Oryzias latipes: one gene and its partner. The protein of the gene in region 1 interacts with the protein of each later gene in a pairwise test. Links are inferred from orthologs where the notes say so. Each region holds a gene or a part of one and is shown on either strand. Other genes may lie near its edges.

Region 1 (4,339 bases):
AAGTTTTCAGTCATTCTTGATTATTTCTAAATCCATCCATCGTTGAGGGAAACTAGTAGCTCTTGGGCCCGTTTTGATCTTGTTTTTAAACTTTTTAAACCTATTTTTAAAAAGAAAGTTCTTTATGCTCATGTTTAAACTAATGTAGTTTCCTGTTGACTTCCATGACAAGTTTAACCTGACATATATACATATATGCACACCGTGATGATGACGATGGATTTATCCTTTAATTTCTTAGTTTGAGCTCAGATTTGTCTTTTTTTTTTTTTGATGGAACATAACTTTACTTTTTCTAAATTCCATTTTTGAAATCTTTGAAGTTCTGCTCATCATCTTCTGCCCTATTTTCAAAGTCTTCCTAGTGGCCTTTTAAAAGTGATGATGCCGTTTTTAGCCTAAAACAAATCTGTGTCGTCTTCCACCGAGGCTGTTAATGTGGAGCCACCCCGCCCCCTTTCCCATCACTGTTCTGAAAGCCTAGACCAGCTTGTGACCACCCAGCATATTTATGAATCCTTTTCAAACAGCATCTTTTCTTCTGCTCCTGATTCACAGCGATTTGAACAAAGAAATGAAATGTCAATTAGAAAAAAGCCACATTTTTTTGGGGGGGGGGGGGGGGTTCTTTAGGTTGGGTGGTGTTGGGCTGTAGCTGCTCCAGATTTGGCTGATTTAATAAAGTTTTTTTTTTTTTTTTTTTTAACAGGAACCTTTAGAATAAGAGGAATATGGTTTTGGACCAGTTTTGACCTTGAAGCTCTTTTCCATCCGTGACCTTTAGACTCAGTTTGGTGACCTCAGCTCATTGGTCCAGCCGTCATAATAAAGGTAGACCAACAGGTGAGTTTGAGGCCCGAGCAGACTGAAATAAATCACCACGCGCTTTTTGTTGTACTTTTTGTTTTTCACGTTATTTTATTGTTGGCTTGTAATGTTTTTTTTTCTACATTTGTGTTGATGGGGACAAATGTTTGAATTACAAACTGCGTAACAAAAAACTCAAATAATCTGTAACGGAAAACTTTGTGTTTTTGTTGCGCTTTTCGGCGACATGAGCGTTGACTGTGACGTTGACATCACTGCAACCATTTTGGTATTTATTCAAATGAGCTTCTATTATCGTCCAATCACTGCTTTAGTCAGATAATCTTCAACCAATCAGCAGGCGACGTTGTGACTCACCAAATAAGGAGAGACAGCACCATATAAGGAAACGTTGTATCTCTTTATAAGGAGGAAAGTAGTTCCCTGGCTCTCGTATCACTCCGCCGTGGCGATAACTTTTTAAAATGCGGGATCATTTTATGCATTTCTGATCCACGTAAACTAAATAATGTAAATAAAGCGACGCCTTCACGTTTTCGCGTGAGTACATAGGGTGTTATATTCGGCCTTTTTTTTTTTGCTCACACGGCGAACTATGTGACGCAGCGGAGTCATATCGACGGAGCTGTTCGCGCTTTCCTTTTTGAGAAAGTACGGAGAGTTTTGGAAATAGAGGAGGAGTGTGGACCGAACGGAGCCGGGTTCGCGGGTCCGGGGGCAGCGTCACTCTCAAAGTCTGGGTCACTAATGTCTCGTAGCGTCCAAATCAACTGAGCGCTTTGTTTACATTGCGTGGCCCCGGCGCGTGCGGTATATATCAGGAGGCACTCACGCAACGCCACGCTCCAGCTTCTCCAGCTGGTGTCTCGGGACTCGGTCGGTCACCTAAATATAATGTTACCCAGCCAGGCTGGATCGGTACCATCTGGAAACGGGTCCGCGTCCGGCAAGGGCAGCACCGGTCACAGTTCGGGGGTTGTCGGCGGCGGGATTCGCCCCGTCCTGGTCCGACCGGGGCTAAGCGACGGCGCGGGCGCTGCGGGGCGACACGCCGGGGACAGGGACGCGGTTGGGATGCTCGGAGCCAACGGTCCAGGCGGCTCGAGGGCCGCGAGACCGGGAAACGGGACCGGAGGGAACCCCCTGCAGGCTGCCGTACCGGGACACATGGTGGGGCTGAACGCGGGCGTCGTGCTGCCCATGGGGGCCCGGTTCGACCCGGAGCGGGTGTGCAGCGGCTCCGACAACGACTCTGAGTCCGGGGACGACGACGACCCGGTGGGGTCACTCGGGGACAGCAGGAGAGGGGTGAAGCGGGAGAGGGGGGAGATGATGGAGGCTGCGGCGGCGGGGCAGGAGGCGGGAGTCACCCCCGGAGATTACGGCATGGTGTCCGGGGGAGTCGCCGGGGCAAAGCCCGGGAAGAAGACCCGGGGGCGCGTGAAGATTAAGATGGAGTTTATAGACAACAAGTTACGGAGGTACACGACCTTCAGCAAGAGGAAGACGGGCATCATGAAGAAGGTGAGTGTGTGAGGCGCGTGCACGCTCATTGATTGATTAAGATGATTGGTTCATTGATTTGTGAGCTGACAGCTCCCTCAGAGGAGGAAAGCATGTCCAGAGTTTGGGTCTGGAAGTTCTGACATCCTCCTCAGAGGATGCAGGATCCCGGTTCTGCTTGTGACGAAGTTCACCCCACATAACTGTATGCAGCTGCATGCATGCATGCATGGAGCTGCATGCATGCATGCATGCATGGAGCTGCATGCATGCATGCATGCATGTATGCAGCTGCCACATGGCTTGCAGGCCTGCATGTGCCAACAGCTGACTAAACCCCCGGGAACCGGACCAGACGATTGCACAGACCACCGTATGGTGCACCCAGAACCAGGAGCAGAACCTCATTGAATACTCATGTTTGGTTCTTCTGCACACGGAACCGCTCTCTTAAAAACCCGATCACACAGAAATATTCTGCTGATCATCTGAAGGTCATTAGGAGCCAGATTTCATAAAAACTCCTCTTTTTTTCAGTGTGTTTTTATTTCCACAGCACCATCTAAACTGTTGTGTTTTGATGCATCCCAGACTGTTGTCGTGGAAACTGTGGTGTCTTCATGTGGGCTTTTGGCAACAATGAGGGGATGGAGATTTCTGTTGCCCACACTCCGTCAGCCCTGACAGGAGCTGACAGGTGGGTGGAGTGGGACGACTCATCGTAGCTCTGAACTTTCATTTTGACGGATCCACGTGATGCTGGAGGTTCTGTTCCTGGTCCGTAGGTGGTTCCTTCTCATGGACGTTTTGGTTTCTCCTCGGCGGCGAGCGGTGGAGTCGTTCGTGGTGAACGCCGTGTCGTTTACAGGGAGCAGGGATCTGCCGCTGGTTTTCAGTGGCCCCCAACACGGCCTGAGATAAAGTGATGGTTCGGGCTCCTGAGTTCTTTTGCTAGGACGTTTCGAGTCTTTTTGGACCCGGATGAGGCCTAAGAAAACAGCAAAGAGCCAAAGTTTTTATTTGAACTTCTTTACGTCTGTTGATGCATATATGGATCAAACCACTTTGGCTCCAAAATAACTTTATTGAGCATCAGCCTGAGAACAGCTGGCATGAATACAGGCGTTAAAGGGTTAACATATGCCTGTTATTGTACGGCAATTCTCGTTAATGGCTCCGCTTTAGTTGTGCCAAAGGAACCAATCAGGCGGAGACAGCAGCCCCCCACCCCCACCTGCAGCTACTCATATTTATGTGAAAATTGGCAGAGCGAGGAGCCCTATTAAAGGCCGCCGTCCACGCTCAGGTTGACAAATGAGTCCGTTTTTCCAGGCTGGACGTTGGCCAGACTCGGCGGTGTTGTTGAAGCGGCGCCGCGGTAGGCAGCGAGGGGAGGTGAGCGTGGAGTCACGGCGAGGAGCAGAGGGGCTGGACGATTGCTGCTCTCCACCGCTACTCTGAAGCTTTCGCCGGTTTTACAACGGCTCCATAAAGTTCTCAAATTTGAATTTGATTTGCGAGTTCTGGGGCGACGCCCCCGCCGGCGTGTGCTGAGGGGGATGGCGGCCTTCCCTGACGGTGACGGGAGCATCTTCAGGATGAGCGATGACTCTGAGGGGAGTTCAGGCTGAGTGCAGCCGTTTGGTCGGATGTGTGTGTTGGATGCAGTCTGAGTCCAAGCATCTGCTGGAAGCCATTCCTCCGTCCTCCTCGCTGGAGGGACGAGCTTCTCCTGGACTCGAACCTTTATCTTCTGCTATTTTGGTCTCTGTGGTGAAATGCATCACTTTTATTTCTGGATTTTTCTGCAGGTTGGAGTTCTGACGTTCCCGTTGAGATGTTTGAGGGCCGCGTTTCCGCTCCGGTCTTCATGTTGTGTTGTCGGTCTCGTTCCAGGCGTATGAACTGTCCACCCTCACAGGAACCCAGGTTCTGCTGCTGGTGGCCAGTGAAACGGGTCACGTCTACACCTTTGCCACCCGCAAGCTTCAGCCCATGATCACCAGCG
Region 2 (3,818 bases), on another chromosome or scaffold:
GATGGAGAAGAGGCTGCTTGCTGTCACCTCGCAGGGACAGGAGTGTCAGCCGCTGCAGCAACAGTCTCCACCTCTGTCGTCAGTCATCAAGTTTGGAAACAGCCCCCCGAAGCCGGCGCCGCTTCCTCCTCAGGTTGCCACAGAACCCGGCTTGATGCCCAACAGCTCAGATCCTTTGCAAGCGCCGCCTCCAAGGGACGAAGACGCCGCCACACACTCCTCCCTGCAGCACCAGCCCGTCTACTCCTTCGAAAGCAGCCGCCAGTCGGAACCGGCCTTCGGCTTGGCGGACATGAGCTCTGCCAGCGCGTCCCCGAACCTCGTGCAGGATTCCTCAGAGGAGCTGGTGATCCTGAGCGACATGGAGGTGAACTCCTCCCAGCCTGAAGATCCCACAGAACAGGACAAGGTACACGCCACGGAAACGTGGCTCCACCCCCTTCTTTTACGTCATCTGTCACATCTGTTTTTAAAGCGAAAAAAGATAAAGAATTCGCTCATCTGCAGATCGTTTAGTTCTGAAATTCAGCTCACAAGTCATTTAAAGTTTCTTTAAATAGCTGACACTGAAACGCACCACGTAGCCTTTAAAAAAAATCTGTAGAAAAAATTGGGAGAGATTAGATTAGAAAAGTTTACACTAATCTAAATTTTCATTAAAAAAAGCAAAAAATTTTCATCAAAATCAAATCTATGATATGAACTTTGCTTTAAAGCAGTTTCTCTTGTTTTGGGGGGGCAAAAATGATTTTCTAAAATATTGTACAAAATTATATTAATATTAGGGCTGGGCGATATAGAAATTTTTATATTATACAATATAGTTTTTTCTTTCATATCAGGCAATAACGATATATCACGATATAATCCAAATAACTATTTTTGTCATATTTGAAAACTGCTGCTCCTAGGAGAAACATGTTATCATCAGCCGGTTGTTTAGATTTAAATATTGATTTCCAATCATACTTTCAACAGAACACTGAAGGAACACAAGTAAAACAAAAGCTTCAAAAGAGAACATAAACAGATCGCTAAACTGTTTGATCTGCTCCATTTAAAAACAAAGCATTAAATCAAGTTTTACTCAAACATAACATTGACAAACATTTTTGTTGACATACTGTAAATAACCCTTGTGCTATCCTAGGCACTTTAACATTGGGAGTTGGGTCATCTAGACCCACTAGACAGTGAGCTAAACCTTTTTTCTTGAATGATTTGTGATCCTCACTGGTGTCCATGGATTACATGAAATCTTTCCACCTTTATCCACCTTTGTCATGGTAGGGAGAACACGTCAAGGTAAGGGTGGGGTCATCTGGACCCCATAGGATAGCACAAGGGATAAGCTAAGAACTAAAAGCAAATTCTCAGAATTTCTTCTCGTAGTAAAATACTTAACACTTTTTATTAATCGGTCTGTTGCTGCTGTAAGTGAAGCAGCTCCAGTTCTGACTTAAAAACCGCCGCATGTTCCGCTGTTTCATCAGCTTAAACTTAGTGCTCCACGCAGGTGAAGTGACCGCGGATGGGACGGATTTCTCACATGCGTTTGTTTATCTCGCGTGGAACCCATGGAATAAAGCTGAAAGTCTGCACTTCAATGTTATCTGAGTTGTTTTCTTAAAAATTCACTGTGGTAATGTACAGAAACTAAATTAGAGAGAATGTGTCTCTGTCCAAATATTTATGGTCCTGACTGTATGTTTGGCCTCCTCACCCACTGTCCGTACCATTAAAAAAAGAACAATTATGCATATCTCATATTATTTTTATGCAAATGGAACATTCATCCAAATCTACCAATTATATCTACCAATGTCTACCAATGAGGTCAAACAATACATGAACACAATATAGAATTCTGACAATAAGAAAGCGATGAAAACACTTGATCTGTGTGTCAGTGTTAATGTCTTTGTGTAACATGTAATCATAACCCCCTGGCATGTTCTTTTCCTGTATTGCACTGTATTGTATTGGATCGTTGTGAGTAATAAAGTTCTTGTTAAAAAAACAGAGAACTTCACTGAAGTAGCTTCAACAATCAAGTTATCTAGTAAATATAGTAAACTATCAACTACAAAAAAAATTCTTAACCATTAAGAAGTAAAAATAGAAAAAAGAAATTATTAACCATTTACTAGAGTTTTCTATTAACTACTAAAAATAGTTAACAACATGATCATACCTGATTTCTGATCAAATGATCAGATAACTCTAATATAAATCTAAGTGTATTTAAATGCTGTTCAATCTGGAAGCTGCACGTGTGAGTTAGAGGTGGAAGGATTTATTTTAACAAGGACTGTTGTTACCGAACTAACTGAACTAAAACCAATCCAGGACATCTTCAGCCGATACTTTAATCAGGGTGACTGAGAGATAAACAGCTGTGTACTGAACAGAGCAGCTGAAGTTTTCCAGATTCTTTCTATTTCTGGCATGATAATCAAGTGTAAATTAAATACATGAACAAGCAAATGAGTAAACAAGAATTAATGACAAATCAATTTACATTTTAGTTTCCTAAAGTTCAGCACAGTTGTTCTTCCACATCCAAATAATCCATTTTTGGAACATTCTACCAAACTGTTATGGCCGCATGTCTTTGCTAAATTCAAAGTCTTTCCACACATTAGACTGGAGTGATGGATTTGTGATCAGTTTTTGCTGACATCACATGTGAGTTGTCTGCTGTGATGCACTTGGTTATTTTTACATTACAGTAAAATAAACCTACCTTGTCTCAATCTAAATGGTATTTGATAATATCGATAAAATTGCTTTCTTTGATTTAAAATGATTTCTAAATCATTTCTGTCAATTCAATTCAATTCGATTAACAACTTGCCTCAGACAGATTAAATCAATTCAGTGATTGTTACAACTCCTAGTGTGAATCCAGATCTAATGGATTGTTTAAGTCTCAATGTTTTTATTGCCCAGCAGGACGTTAGAGATGCAGTTGCTGCTGCTGCAGCTGGAACAGCCTGTTTGGAGGCTTATCGCAGGCTATCTTTACCTGACATGCGATTCAGTTTAATGATCTGAAGACTTTAAAGTAATCCAGAGTGTTTCCCCGACCCCAAGAAAGTAAAGCAGCATTTTTGGTTTTGTCAGGTGGATGGCGGCGGCGCTCAGCCCGGAGACGAGATCAACTTGGTGGACGCGGAGACCAGCTCGTCGTCGGCGAGCAGCAGCACCGCAGCCAGCAATCAGAGCTCCGGGAAGACGCGCAAGCCTCCCAGAGTCCTGCAGATCAGCCCGCCTACTCTGCTGGTCACCGCCTCGGACTTCTCCCCCATGAACAACTGCAGCCCGTCGCTCCCCACCCCCTCTCTCACGCCCGCCATGCTGCAGGTGAGTTCTGCCTGTGAGCAGCAGCAGGAAGCTCCGCCCACACGAGTCAGGGACACATTAGAGTCAGGATGACAACAGAATAAAAACAAAGGTACAGTCAGATCGCAGCCGGACAGGTAAACCCCTCCCCCCCATAACGGGATGCGGTCTGACCAAGGCTTTAGCTGTGGCTTCAACAAACGAAGAGTTAGTGAAAAAACAGCTTTTCTAAATATCTGACGATCATTTTTAGGAAAGCTGTCATCACCCTCCATGTTTTCTGCTTGTCCTGCTCGATTTCTGGATCAAATGATTCCAGCCTCAGATTCACTGAACTCACTGGGTTCAGGTGATCAGCAGCTGGTCAGACATCTGGAAATCAAGCAGATCAGCTCTACTTTAATGCACAGATCTGAAACATGCAATCAGTATTAATGCTTTCTAAAGATTTATAAATGTTAAAAATATTGATT

What was found.
Region 2: the proteins of srf (region 1) and elk4 interact in a two-hybrid assay, tested with the Homo sapiens proteins (2 studies listed by BioGRID and IntAct). The link is inferred for Oryzias latipes from reciprocal best matches to the Homo sapiens genes SRF and ELK4.

What each region holds. Positions count from the first base shown.
Region 1 is NC_019873.2:29,042,362-29,046,700, forward strand, and holds the start of srf (serum response factor), read left to right. Parts: upstream 1-1,376; 5' UTR 1,377-1,722; coding exon 1,723-2,352; intron 2,353-4,227; coding exon 4,228-4,339. UniProt on the Homo sapiens protein: SRF is a transcription factor that binds to the serum response element (SRE), a short sequence of dyad symmetry located 300 bp to the 5' of the site of transcription initiation of some genes (such as FOS).
Region 2 is NC_019863.2:24,090,514-24,094,331, reverse strand, and holds part of elk4 (ETS domain-containing protein Elk-4), read left to right. Parts: coding exon 1-409; intron 410-3,126; coding exon 3,127-3,366; intron 3,367-3,818. UniProt on the Homo sapiens protein: Involved in both transcriptional activation and repression. Interaction with SIRT7 leads to recruitment and stabilization of SIRT7 at promoters, followed by deacetylation of histone H3 at 'Lys-18' (H3K18Ac) and subsequent transcription repression.